Xenopus tropicalis: one gene and its partners. The protein of the gene in region 1 interacts with the protein of each later gene in a biochemical or structural test. Links are inferred from orthologs where the notes say so. Each region holds a gene or a part of one and is shown in the gene's direction. Other genes may lie near its edges. The genes, in order: sh3rf1, ube2n and akt2.

What was found.
Region 2: the proteins of sh3rf1 (region 1) and ube2n form a complex in vitro, tested with the Homo sapiens proteins (2 studies listed by BioGRID). The link is inferred for Xenopus tropicalis from reciprocal best matches to the Homo sapiens genes SH3RF1 and UBE2N.
Region 3: the proteins of sh3rf1 (region 1) and akt2 form a complex in vitro, tested with the Homo sapiens proteins (2 studies listed by BioGRID and IntAct, with this or other methods). The link is inferred for Xenopus tropicalis from reciprocal best matches to the Homo sapiens genes SH3RF1 and AKT2.

What each region holds. Positions count from the first base shown.
Region 1 is NC_030677.2:50,108,877-50,113,046, forward strand, and holds the start of sh3rf1 (E3 ubiquitin-protein ligase SH3RF1), read left to right. Parts: upstream 1-1,339; 5' UTR 1,340-1,571; intron 1,572-4,170. UniProt on the Homo sapiens protein: Has E3 ubiquitin-protein ligase activity. In the absence of an external substrate, it can catalyze self-ubiquitination. Stimulates ubiquitination of potassium channel KCNJ1, enhancing it's dynamin-dependent and clathrin-independent endocytosis.
Region 2 is NC_030679.2:56,096,453-56,100,488, reverse strand, and holds the start of ube2n (ubiquitin-conjugating enzyme E2 N), read left to right. Parts: upstream 1-1,221; 5' UTR 1,222-1,239; coding exon 1,240-1,269; intron 1,270-4,036. UniProt on the Homo sapiens protein: The UBE2V1-UBE2N and UBE2V2-UBE2N heterodimers catalyze the synthesis of non-canonical 'Lys-63'-linked polyubiquitin chains. This type of polyubiquitination does not lead to protein degradation by the proteasome.
Region 3 is NC_030684.2:77,753,519-77,757,849, reverse strand, and holds the start of akt2 (RAC-beta serine/threonine-protein kinase), read left to right. Parts: upstream 1-1,519; 5' UTR 1,520-1,530; intron 1,531-1,577; exon of another isoform or gene 1,578-1,677; intron 1,678-4,331. UniProt on the Homo sapiens protein: Serine/threonine kinase closely related to AKT1 and AKT3. All 3 enzymes, AKT1, AKT2 and AKT3, are collectively known as AKT kinase.

The sequences.
Region 1 (4,170 bases):
GTTTTTAATGCAGGATTCTGCTGGAGAAGCTCTATTAACTGACATGTTTTGAAAAAAAAAATGTTTTCCCATTAAAGCATTCCTTTAAGGGAAAAAGTCTGATAGCTACTAGTATAGTGGGTGGATGTATCCCTTCAAATCCTATATTATGTGTGTTCACTGAGTGTTCCACATTCTGCTGTATGCAGGATTCATCGTGTGTGTATTAGATCATGGCTTAGAAAAGGAAACTGTTTTATAATTAGTGCCCTGTGCAATTAGAAAATACAGTGCTCCCTTTATCTGCTGCTGCTTGTAACACAGGCCCAAAGTATCATACTGTTCAGTGAATACCCTCCTGCTTGAGGTGCCCTATGAGACCGATCAGGTGAAACCAGGTCACCATAAAACCCATCCCTGAATCCTATAGCTTATTTGACCCAGTTTTAGCGCTGCTGCAGCACATAGGTGAGATGGGGATTGCTCCGGAGGGAGGGCGGGTATCCTTACAAACTGAAGGAGCCTGTATTGTATTGCCAGGCACTTTCTAACAGCCCAGCCGGCTTAGGGCTTTGTCTATGAGGCTGAGGCACAGCTGGGATACTTTGCAGGCACATGTACACACACAGGGGCATATTTATTATGCTGTCTAAAAATCGGTGGGTAAATTTGCCACACATCGCCAGGCTTTGCCGTGTAAAAACCGGCGTAAAAATGGCGTAATTGTTTTACAAGTTTTTTCTTCCGCTGGATCTTACGTAAAATAATGGCGTAAAACCTTGCGTTCGGGCTGTGATCTTCTCCATTTTACACACCTTTTTACATCATTTTTTCTACAAATTGGTTTTACACAGCATAATAAATATGCCCCACAGATTGATGTTAGGAGTTGACAAAATCAGCAGTTCACAATTGTGTGGAAACAAATTGAGTTTTAATGAAGATTGTTTGTTCCCTTAGTTTCAGGCTTATTAAATAAGCTCCAGCAACTGATAAAAACAATATTTCGGCAAAACCGATAAACCCAGTGTCATAAACTAAAATATGTAATGTTGTAGTGCCTACACAACACATGGGGTTGTTAGTATATAATAAGTATATAGGTATATCTGGATCTGCTGGATCATCCATTATGCGTGGCTTAGCAGCAGAAAGAGCTCCGTGAGGCGCATATGGAATGATGCTCCATACCCTCACAGTCAGCGCAGTTGGTATATCCCATAGTATTGCTCCATAGCCACCATCCCATCTCTCTCATTCCACGTTCAGCAGCGGCAGCCGGAGCCCCTGCCCATCTCCTCCCCCTGCTCCCCCTCCCATAGCCGTGACGTGCTCCTGTCGGATGGCAGGGAGGAGAAGGAGGGAGTTCATGGGAGAGACCCAGGCACACACTCAGTGATATTGCCGCAGGGACAAAGGCACAGGAGACACCGAGGGGCTCAGTGGATCCCCATAGTCTGTTCTTTGGATTGTAGGTCTTCCCCCGGCTCTTGAAATCCCCGGAGAGAAGTGATCGCGCAGCCTGTGCAACTCTGTGCCGAGCCCTGGGCTTCCTCTGCAGGTCAGTGCCGAGCCCTGGGCTTCCTCTGCAGGTCAGTGCTGGCTCCTGGCAGCCTGGTGCCTGCTCGCACTTTGGCAAGACAAGGGGAGTGTAATGTTAGCAAGGCTGATGGGTCTACTTTGGAATGGGGGTGGGTGTCACTGCCTGCTCTCACTAACTGGGGTGGTCTGGGGTTCAGAGGAGCAGTCCTGCAGGACCTGTTTCTCTTCTAATCATGTAATTACACAGTAACAGAGATTGCTTGAAGCTGCCCTCCAGCGAATGTGGCACTGTTATCTGCCCTCATCCCCTGACTGCTGGAGGGCTGCAGTTTGGACTTCCCTTGCATAGCACTGACACCCAGTACAGTTTGTATAATATTGGGAGCAGTCCTAATATTATACCAACTGTACTGGGTGCCAATGCTATGCTTCATTTTTATTATCCAGCATGCCCAAGCTGATTCCTCACAGCTGTTGTTGTACTGCAGCTCCCAGCATTCCCCTTGAGCCAGAGGCTGAAATGGTATCCTGGAAGCTGTAGTTTATCAATACATGGAGGAGCTCCAGTTGGACCTACCAGGTACATAATATATTGGGCACATTTATAAAGCTCTGTAAGACACTTTACACCTATGATATAGTTTAAAAGTTGGTGTCAAATAACTGGTATATTTCCTCCACTGTGCTTACACATGAATTATGTCCTTTAGGCATAATCTATTACAAAGAGCTAATCGGCATATTTATAAAGGTGTGTCATGTATTTTGCCAGCCTAACTGCTAATTACACCATGATTTTACTCCACCTCAGCCCTGTCGCAACCCATTGAAGTGAATGGGGCAAAATCTAGTGGCAAGGAATTGGTGGTATCAAAAGTGGTGTAAGGTTCTGTGTTTGTTGTAATGGCACCTTTGTGTTAATGTGCAGACATTTGGTAATTTTTAGATTTAGAAGATTTTTTATACACCTTTATAAATATGCCCCTTAATGTGACTGACAGCATTTATAAGTAAACAGAGCTATAAACAAGGATCCCTGGATCATTTGCCTTCTCAACTGCTGCTGCGAGGAAGGAAGTGGGAGCCATAGTATCATCCCCTGGCAGAGCTCATTAAACTTTAATCTCATTGCTTCAGGTGAGAAGAGGAGAAAGCGATATGGAATTTTCACTAGACGTGGGAATGGCTCCACCCCGTTCACTATACTCATGCTCCAAACATGTAGCAGGAAGTGTCCTGGGTAACACTCTCTCACATTCCCCTGCATTACCATAGCAAAAGGGAAAGGCAGCATGTGAAACTGCCCATACACCAAGGCTGGGTTAATGGGAGGGATTAACCCCTGTGCTTCCCCAGCCTTAACTCTGTGCTAAACAAACCCTGGATTCTTTGGCACTTGGACATCTGTGAGTGCCTTACTGTGTCTCTCTGTCACTCTCCACACTCTGTGTCCTTTCTTTTGTGGTGAAGGGTCTTTTCCTTCCACACTGAAGGGCTGGCAACAGGAATCTTTGTTCCTGTGACTGGTTTCCATAGAAACAGATAGCTAAATGAATTTATCTAGTCCTTCTGTTAGAAGGGTTGTGGTTTCCTCTCGTCTGGTACCCATATTATAACCAGTACAGGCATTGGTATTGATTGAGATTAACACTGTATTCATAGCATCAACATATTCCACTGCGCGGTACAATAAACAAGTGTATATATCAAACATGCCAGTTACATACAAATAACTATAAGTGTGAGTGCCGGTGAAAGCAAAGGGTGTTAGTGTATTAGTGCAAGAGCATGTAAATGGCCTGAGGCAGCACTGAGTAAGCACGTTTTATGTGCACAACCGTACTGACTGTTTGTTTTCTTTGAGCCCAGAGTAAAAGAAAAGAACTATATATATATATATTATTATGTGTGAAGGTTTTGGTATAGTGCAATAATTTCTCTGTGGGTTAGCAGGTAAAAAAGCTTGGTTCTGTAGTGGAAGTTAGATCACATAGTAAAAGATCTTACCAAATTTCTAATGTTTTCAGGGTTTTGCTGGGAACTTTAACTGCGGGATGTATGTGTGTATATTTTTATTTATATAGCTCTACTTATGTACGCAGCACTGTACAGCAGAGCAATAAATTAATAAACGGGGTCATTAAAATAATAGATACATAAATACAAAGTATAATAATGAATGCAAATAAAAAGTAGAGTTGCATTTAAGATTTCACAGGGCAAATGAAAGAGACAAGAGGATGGTGGTACCTGCCCAATAGAGCTTACAATCTAAATGGCAGGGTAACTTACAGACACAAATAGGAGGGAATTAAGTGATGCAGGTTACTGTGGGTGACACTGTAATATAAGTGGGGAATTACACTAGTGTCATAGGTTACGTGCAATTGTGCCAAAGCCTTGAGTGCCTGCATAAACAGTTCTCATAAACTCACTAGTCTGCCAGTCCAACATTGGGTTGGTATCTTAATGCTTTGTAAAATGATATACGCCAAAAATAGTGGTAGTAAACAGGGGTGGGCCAAGCCGACCGGGCGCCCTAGGCAACACGGTCGGCCAACTCCGCCCACCTCTCCGCCCCCCCGAACGGCGCATGCGCGCCAAAGCACAGGAGAAGGTTCGGGGGGGGGGGCGGAGCGATTAGATCGG
Region 2 (4,036 bases), on another chromosome or scaffold:
ATGCTTTCCCACTGGCAATAAAATGAATCTTTGGTGGGAAAGCACACATGGCTTGAGCACTATCTGCAAGGAGTTAGTATGTTCCCAGAGAATGTACCCGCCTTCCAGCCCGCTTCAACATGGCACCCGCAGGGTGGTATTGGGCCTGTAATGATGTCTGATGTGTGTCACACCAAAAACATACAGGCAAGTTAATTGGTTACTCATTTTACTGACCATAATGTGATAGGGACCTTAGACTGTAAGGGCAGTGGCACACAGGGAGATTAGCCGCCTGCAGTTAAAGTCAGATCGCTGGTGGGAAAGCACACACGTCACTTTGTTTTCCAGTCATGCAATGTTTTCTGCACAAGAAACTTTGGCCAATGTAGTGCTGCATATTCCTTTCCACCAATAAGTCACTTTATTGCCAGTGGGAAAGCATTTTAGGGAGTAGGCAGTTAACTTATCTATATGTTTTTGGTGTGTGAGATGGAACTGGACTAGCCAGAGCTACTCCAGACACAGAAAGAACATACCAACTCCTTGCATGCTCAAACTGGTTTTGAATACAGGATCCCAGCACTGCAAGGCAGTCCACTAAGCCACCATGAATTAAGCTTTTGTTGATGCTGGGGTTTCTGCAAAATGTGTAAACAATTTCTGATAGACTGGCTCTATACACTATTACCCCGACTTCTATTCAAGTAGAGTCTTATATTCTGTTACCAAAAGAATCAAAACATTTGCTACCTGCCTAACATTACATTCAGAGGGTGTTAATATGAAGTTGCTTTTTTTTCTGCTAATATAATAGTGAAGTCATATGGTTTTATTCAAGGTGTCCTACTTTCAGGCCTTATAGCATAGTCTGACTCCAGTTTCATTTCTTGTCTCGCCAGCTGTATGGGGTGGGGTGAAGCTGAAACCTCATCATGCTAACACGACTGTTCGTTTCTTACGTCTTGTTGGTTTTCAATGTCTTCTATGCTCGCTACAGGCAGTGCATAGAAGACATACTGAAACACTTAAGCATTGTTCCTTGGGCTAAAATGAACATTCTGACTACACACACCAACAAGCGTGATTACATCATTATACATGAGAGGAATAACGAGTCCCGTTACAACTACATCTCCCATGAGCCTGTGGGCTGTCGCAATGACGTCAGCGGAAGCGGATGCCGCGCTCTCACTTGTGCGTGACAGGGGGATCCGGTGGCACGCAGAGAGTTGGAGGCTGCACGCATTATAAGACAGGATGGCCGGGCTGCCTCGCAGGATAATCAAGGTAATTGGCGGCTTGTAGCTAGTGAAGTAGTAGCGATTGCTTTACGTTATGTCTTGGGCTTAGATCAGCGGCATTGATCCGAATGAATGGAGACAAGGCCCGGGAATGTCCCCGCCCTCCAGCCCGCTTCAACATGGCACCCGCCGGGTGGTACTGGGCCTGTAGTGATGTCTGATGGGGTTGAGGGTCCGGGGTCGCTATGTGTGCGCGCCTTGTATAGGAAACCACCCCAACGGGGATATGGGGACAACGTTATTTTTTGTGCTTGAAGTAAAACCTTGTGCCGACCACACCCACGCCATTTGCTTGTAGTCTGTTAGCGTTAAGGCTACATAAGGGTACAGATATGGGGGGGGGGGTATATAGGAATGAGTTACACTGTAGCACATAGGGTGACTCCCCCAGACACTGCATGCCATTACTAATACGTGTGCTTAGTGTTTAGGAGCTATATCGCATTTTACTGCATCAATTGACGGCAGAGGTGTCGGCAGTAGACCATTTTATATATAGGTAGGCTATTGATTAGTAAGGAGGGTATATTTCATCTTGGCTCACTATTTATTGCACCTCATTTAGTTAAATTGGGAGCCAAATAGTTCTGCTTGTCACTGTACCCCAATGTATTCTACATTTTTACATGGCTGTTGGTTGAGCCATGCTAAGGGGGATTTTACCCTTACTAAATACTAGCGCAGAGCTGCTTCTAGGTAAGTGTTACGTTTTTCTGGGGTATCCAGGTGACTTTGGAACAACTCACGAACCACTAATTAATTTAGGATCCTTTAAGCACCATATTATAATTCGTAATTACTGTTCTTCAGTGGCGTTTTCGGTCAGGTAAAGGTTATGGAGACCCAACCTAAGTAGCGTGGACGGGGATTCATTGTGGTTCCCCAACACCTAGATTAAGAATTCTTATTCTAGGTAAACTACTTAATGACACACAGAGCTACTAGTTGCAGCCACAAAGTACCAGAAAATACCCTTCTATAGATAATACTGAGAATTGTCTCTGCTGAAACACATATTGAGAATATTTACTGTTGTCTATTTTGTAGCCACAACAAGTAGCTCCATCTGTCAATGCTCTAAAGAGGCAACCAGGTTCCCTCTTTTGTGGTGTCTCTGCGTAATGTGCAGTCTCTCAGAAGACCTGTTCTTGTCCCAGCAGCTTGTGATAGGTTATATTTTGCCACAGGATTCACTATTAGCTTTTCAGAACTTCAGCCACAACATTTATTTGTGGAACGCATGGCATATACTTTATTCTGAAGTTGCATCATCCCTTTAAGTCAAATAAAGATACAGTTGAATGTCATATGATGTGAGGCACTGAAGGAAGCAGATATCTGTCCTTTAAATCTTCATGCTAAATGGTTGGGTAACTTAGGTTGATAGTATTGCCATTTACAGTGGTTGGGAAATTGGCCTATGAATATCAATATTGGACTAGGTACTGTGCTGAAGCCCAGATTTTACTTAAATTCTAATTAAATATTTTAAATGTTCATTTTTTGGGATGTCTGCCTCTGCTAAGCTCTATCTGCTTCACTTTTTTATGTGAATCAGTGACAACCATCTTCTATATTGTCAGCAGTGTTTCCACATTTCCTGTCTAAATTATATCATATATTATGCAAGATACTTTTAACCAGTATTTGAACCTTTTTTCCAACCTCACATGTATAATTAAATATTTTTGCTGGACTTCTTACATACATCTGATATACAAAGAAAACATTTCGCAAAATACACGGATGAAATGGAAGAAGTTTGTGGCTGGATGTGATGAGATTGAAAAATATAGCACACTCTTGCTTTCAATATAGTAGCTATTTAAGTGCATCGCTGTAACACATGCAGAAAAACTGGCATATAAACCATGCACCAAAGTGGTATATGTAGTTTAATTCAGCAGGAACAGATCACCAGCACTTCCTGTCATGATTCCAGCTTACACCACTTTAATTTCTAAAGCTAATTGCTGGCAACCTGTCAAAATGCTGCACTGAGTGCTGGGAGAGAGATGTTGGTGATGGTGTAGACAGCATCACTAAATAAAATCAAACGGTTAAAATCATTTGGCTTAAAAAGCCCTTAGATGTTTTGTTTTAATGCATATTATCATTTAATGCATATTTGTTGTAAAAGTTTTTGGTTTGTTTTGCTGTTGCAGTTAAAATGAAACCGTATTTTACATGTAAAATATTTATTTGAAGCTACACAGCAAATCTGAATCTCACTATGGCTTCCTTGGAGTATTTCTAACATACATAAGATAACATGCAGTGAAATAATGTGCCATCAATTGGGTGTTGACCCTTGGCAACAATATAGATATTGCCTGCATGCATTTTATTTTCCATTCAACGTTTATAAATTGTCTAATGCAATTATCATGATCTTCTGATATGTCTAACATAAGAAAGCTTCAGTTTTCTTATTAGCGAATCAAGTGGAAAGTCTGGTTTGATCTTGTCAAGGATCCATGTTTGTTCCTTGCTATCTGTGGTATTCTCAAAAGTTATTACTAACTCGAGTTCAAAGGCATCAGTACATTTACTGGCCTGCTTCTTTATTTTTCAGTTTTATTCACTATTACATACCATTTTTTCATGATATTTCTTGTCCTGATTTCTATTTCAGTTTATAGCTAGTTCACATGATTTTGCTCTTTTTTTTTTAGTTACCCTACCTGCCTACTGAAGATCTTTCCCACAACCATTCCTTATGGGAAAGATTAAGCCTTTTACTGTGTTGAATA
Region 3 (4,331 bases), on another chromosome or scaffold:
TAAGTAGCTAATTATACCTCTTATTTGCACCCTGCGAACTTTTTCCATGCTTTTGTTGCTCCCCAACACTTTTTCCATTTGAATGTGGCTCATGGGTATAAAAGGTTGGGGATCCCTGCCATACACGTTCAGGTTTTAGTCTTCTTCCAAAAAACGTTAGGATATCTGTCATACATTTAAATGAAACTATCTAAAACTAACATTTGAGACTCAAACTGTAAGATAAAGCCCTAAAAATAACAAATCGGAGGATGTTCTGAACACAAGATAGTTGGCAGACACCAGTCGTATGAAGGAGACTGTAGGTCCCCCAAAGATATAGTCAGATACACAATACATACACAGATATTATCACTATCCGACCCAAATGTTCTAACCTGCCCAGTCAACTAAAGGTCCCCATACACGAGGCGATTTCACTCGTTGTGCGACGAACGATTATATCGACAAACGATCGTATGGTGATTGGGTTTCCATACGATATGCCATCCACGGCCAACGATAATTTGCAAAAGATTTCATCGTATCATCATCGTAAAGTACGTATGATCGTACATCTACGTACGATCCAATGTCGTGGCGGAAATGGTATTTATTTATTTATGTTTGTTGACTTCCGCTGCTGGCAATCATGACATGCGCAGAAAACAATCGTTCGAAGACAAATGTCTGACACTCACACCAACTGGCAGATTTTATCGTTAAACGACTAAAATTTTTAAACCTGGCCGATCGATTTTGGGGACGATAATGTCGGGTCGATTAGTGGGCCGACGATCGTTTGCACACCATCAACTATACGATAACTTAACGATAGTATCGGATCGTTCGGGAATCAGTCGTTTGACAGTAAAAAATTGGCCCATGTATGGGGGCCTTTAATGCTGCGGTTAAGAAAATTATCGGGATGATAATTCTGAGCCTACTCACGGTCCAAAAACCGTACAAAACCGATCTTATTGGGGCATGGCCAGTTTTAGAGACTACTTTTGGCTAACTTCGCCCATTTTCTTCCCCCCTTGTTTGCACAAAAAGACTATAAAAAATACAATTTCACTTGGTACAAGTTTGCACAAAAATTGTTTTCCTGTTTTGTCAAATTCGGAGAAGAGCCTCTGCTGCCAGCAGGCACCCTTTGCAATCAGGAAAAAGTGTTCTTTTAGTCCCCTGGCATAACTTCTAAGGAAACTGGGATCTCAGGTGGCAAGGGGCACGGCGGGAAACCAACACAAAACAAGTTTTTTTTTTTTTTTTGTTCTTTAACAGAAGTAGGAGGTGCGAGCAGAGGAAAAACAAATTGTGAGTAGAACTACAGCGTCTCAGCAGCAGCTCCTACTGTATGAATTACGCCGACTCGTCACTCCCACAAGTAGGCTATAGTGCGTCACTGCGCTTACGTCTCTGCGCCAGTCTCGCGTGATGAGAGCTGCGGTGTTGGGGCTGTAGGAGAAAGAACTTGCAGGCACCCTAGCAACCGCCCTCCCTTCCGAAGTAGGCAGCTCTGTGACAGCAGGGAACCCGATAATCCAAGTAAGTGCAGCATAGCCCCTTCCCCCTTAAGACCCGAAACCCACCGGGGCCGGGACGTCTGTTCCCCATGCCCCCCCCCCTTGATGGCGGCCCTGAGAGTGGTTGCCGTGCCAGGGCTACACAGAAAGCAACAGCAGGCCATTCCAGGTAAGTTGAAGTGGGCCAGCACCAAAATGATATCTTTTGAGCTACCTACTTAAATATTTCTTTTACTGGTACCATACAGCATTGTCTGGGGTATTCATCCCACTCTTTGAGCAGCTGTTTGCTTGCATGTACACTGAGTGGTGCAGCCATTTGTAGATCAATGTGTCTGGTTAAAGGATGGTGTGCTTACTTTATGCGTTTTATGAATTCATTTTATAACGTTTCCACGAAAGAGTGTAAACTATAAAACGTTTGGATCTCTCCAGTACTGAATCCTACTAGCCTGACTTTGTACTGTGTTAGAGAATGTTCTCAGTGATACAATGGAAACATTTCATTTATTTTTTAGGTAATCACACTGTTTTTGACATTGGACTGTGCTTGTTTAACAACAAATAGAGAATGTAGCCAAAATATGTGTTGTTTTCTAAGTCCAATATAGGTCAGTATAAAAGTTTAGAGCTAGAACAGAAGATGCAGCATGGAATTGATAGGGTGCTAATTTGGCTTAATGGTCAACTTACTGCTTAATTACTGAATTAGAAAACCACTATTTTCCATGGTATTTCTTGTAGAACAGGGGAAAGCTATTGGGTATCAAGCTGGCAATATCATTTGGCATATAGAAATCTCATTTCAGAATAATCTGTACTATTGTTTTCCAGATTTCGCCCTTTAAAAACAGTATAGCAAGCACTCAAATCAAGCTTATGCAGAGGCTTCTTCACCTGAGAAGATATACTAAAAGCATATTGTTCTTCCCATTGAACTTTCCACCCTGGCGGGTGCAAAAGAATATTGCCTACCTCACCTAACGTAATAGAAAACATGTCTTACAGGTGCTGATAGGACTGTGCGCTTATGCAAATTCAGTATGTAGTGTATTTGCAGAAGTGCAGAATCCTACCAGTGCCTGTGAAAAGTATTATTATAGTGGACAAGGCTGGGGGAAGCTTTAAGACGCATCAGAACTGGACAAAAACTGCTAGGGGGGAAACTGAATTATTAGGCTGCTGTTTATACACAAATGAAAGTAATGTTGTAATGACGGGCTGCTGCAAGTAACTATATACCAGTGCTTAGTTTAATTACTTTAGCATCTGTTAGTGATAATATGCAGCCTATATTTACACAAAAATAGAAATTAATTCCAGGGACTCCAATTCAACCTGTGTACATATGTACATTGCTTAGTATACAAATGAGTTGTTTGTACCAGACTTTTGTCAGAATATGTAACTTCTCCCTCATTGTATAATATTAAGTTGACCCACTCTTTTCTGCTATAACTTTCCACTAGAAGTTGGAGCAAAGTTGGTGGGGTTTGCTTCCATTCAGCTGCAAGAGAGAAATAGCAAGTTACATCCCACAGAAGTTTTTGTGTTGAGGCCAGAGTTGTGTGCAGGCCAGTCAAGTTCTGTAACCATGAAAAAAGGCCCAGACCATTATATCTTGTCAACAAAATTTTACAATTGCCATTATGTATTCAAAGTGGTAGTGTTCTCCTGACTTATGCCATACAGACTTGTTCATCAAACTGCCAGATGGTATTTCATCACTTTAGAGACTGCCCCATGGTGGTGACCTTAACACCACCCAAGCCAACACTTTACAGTATTTGACTTGTGTGCAACTGCTTGCCCATAAAATACCCAGAGACATTTTAAAATCTGACATTTGACATGTTTCTTCTACTTTCTGCAAGCCCAGAATTATTGCAATAGTAATTTCATAGTTACATACCCAACTTAGGATAGTGTAATGTCAATGTCTTTTTGGTCCTTTAGACAATCTTACCTTAATTTTAATTGTTTTTCTTTATCTCATCTCGGGGATTTATTAAAAAATCATCACAATAGGAATCAGGCACTGGTTATGGCATTTTCTTTTTCTAGATTACTGTCAATAAATTCTGTCAGGCCAGGCTTAAACCTCAACAACTTGACACTTCTCATTCTTCATATTTTAAAGGAAAAGGAAAGGCTAAGTCACTTGGGGGTGCCAAAATATTAGGCATCCCAAGTGACTTTAATCGCTTACCTTGTAGCTTGGGGTTGGTGCCCCTGTTAGGAGAAAACAGCACCAGCCCGGGGTACCTGTAGCGAGCGCTTCCTGCTTCGTTTTGCCAGGACCCCATGACCGGTGCATGCGCAGTAGAGTGAAAAGCCGACTTCTCTGGTAAAGTTCGGCTTTTTCACTCTACTGTGCATGCGCACAGGAAGGAGGAAGCGCCCCAGGTACCCTGGGCTGGTGCTGTTCTCTCCGAACAGGGGCACCAGCCCGGGGTAAAAGGTAGGCAATTTAAGTCACTCGGGGTTGCCCAACTTTTTTGGCACCCCCAAGTGACTTTCCCTTTCCTTGTCCTTTAAGGTCTTCTGCAAGATTCAGTTCAATGACAATTAAAATATCAGAATTGTAGACTTCACTATGGATATTATGCACCCAGGGTAGGTTTTACAATTGCGCAGTTTTGGCCACCAGTTGATGCTGTTTATGCTGTTATCGGTGTTATTTTATTTTTATTATAATTTTATACATAATGCTGACATATTCTGCAGACCTTTACAGAGATGATACATCAGTGTGACCCTCTCAGGGAACAACTAAGAGTTGCTGTAAGCTCCAGCAAATCTACAGGTATGCAAGTCACATTG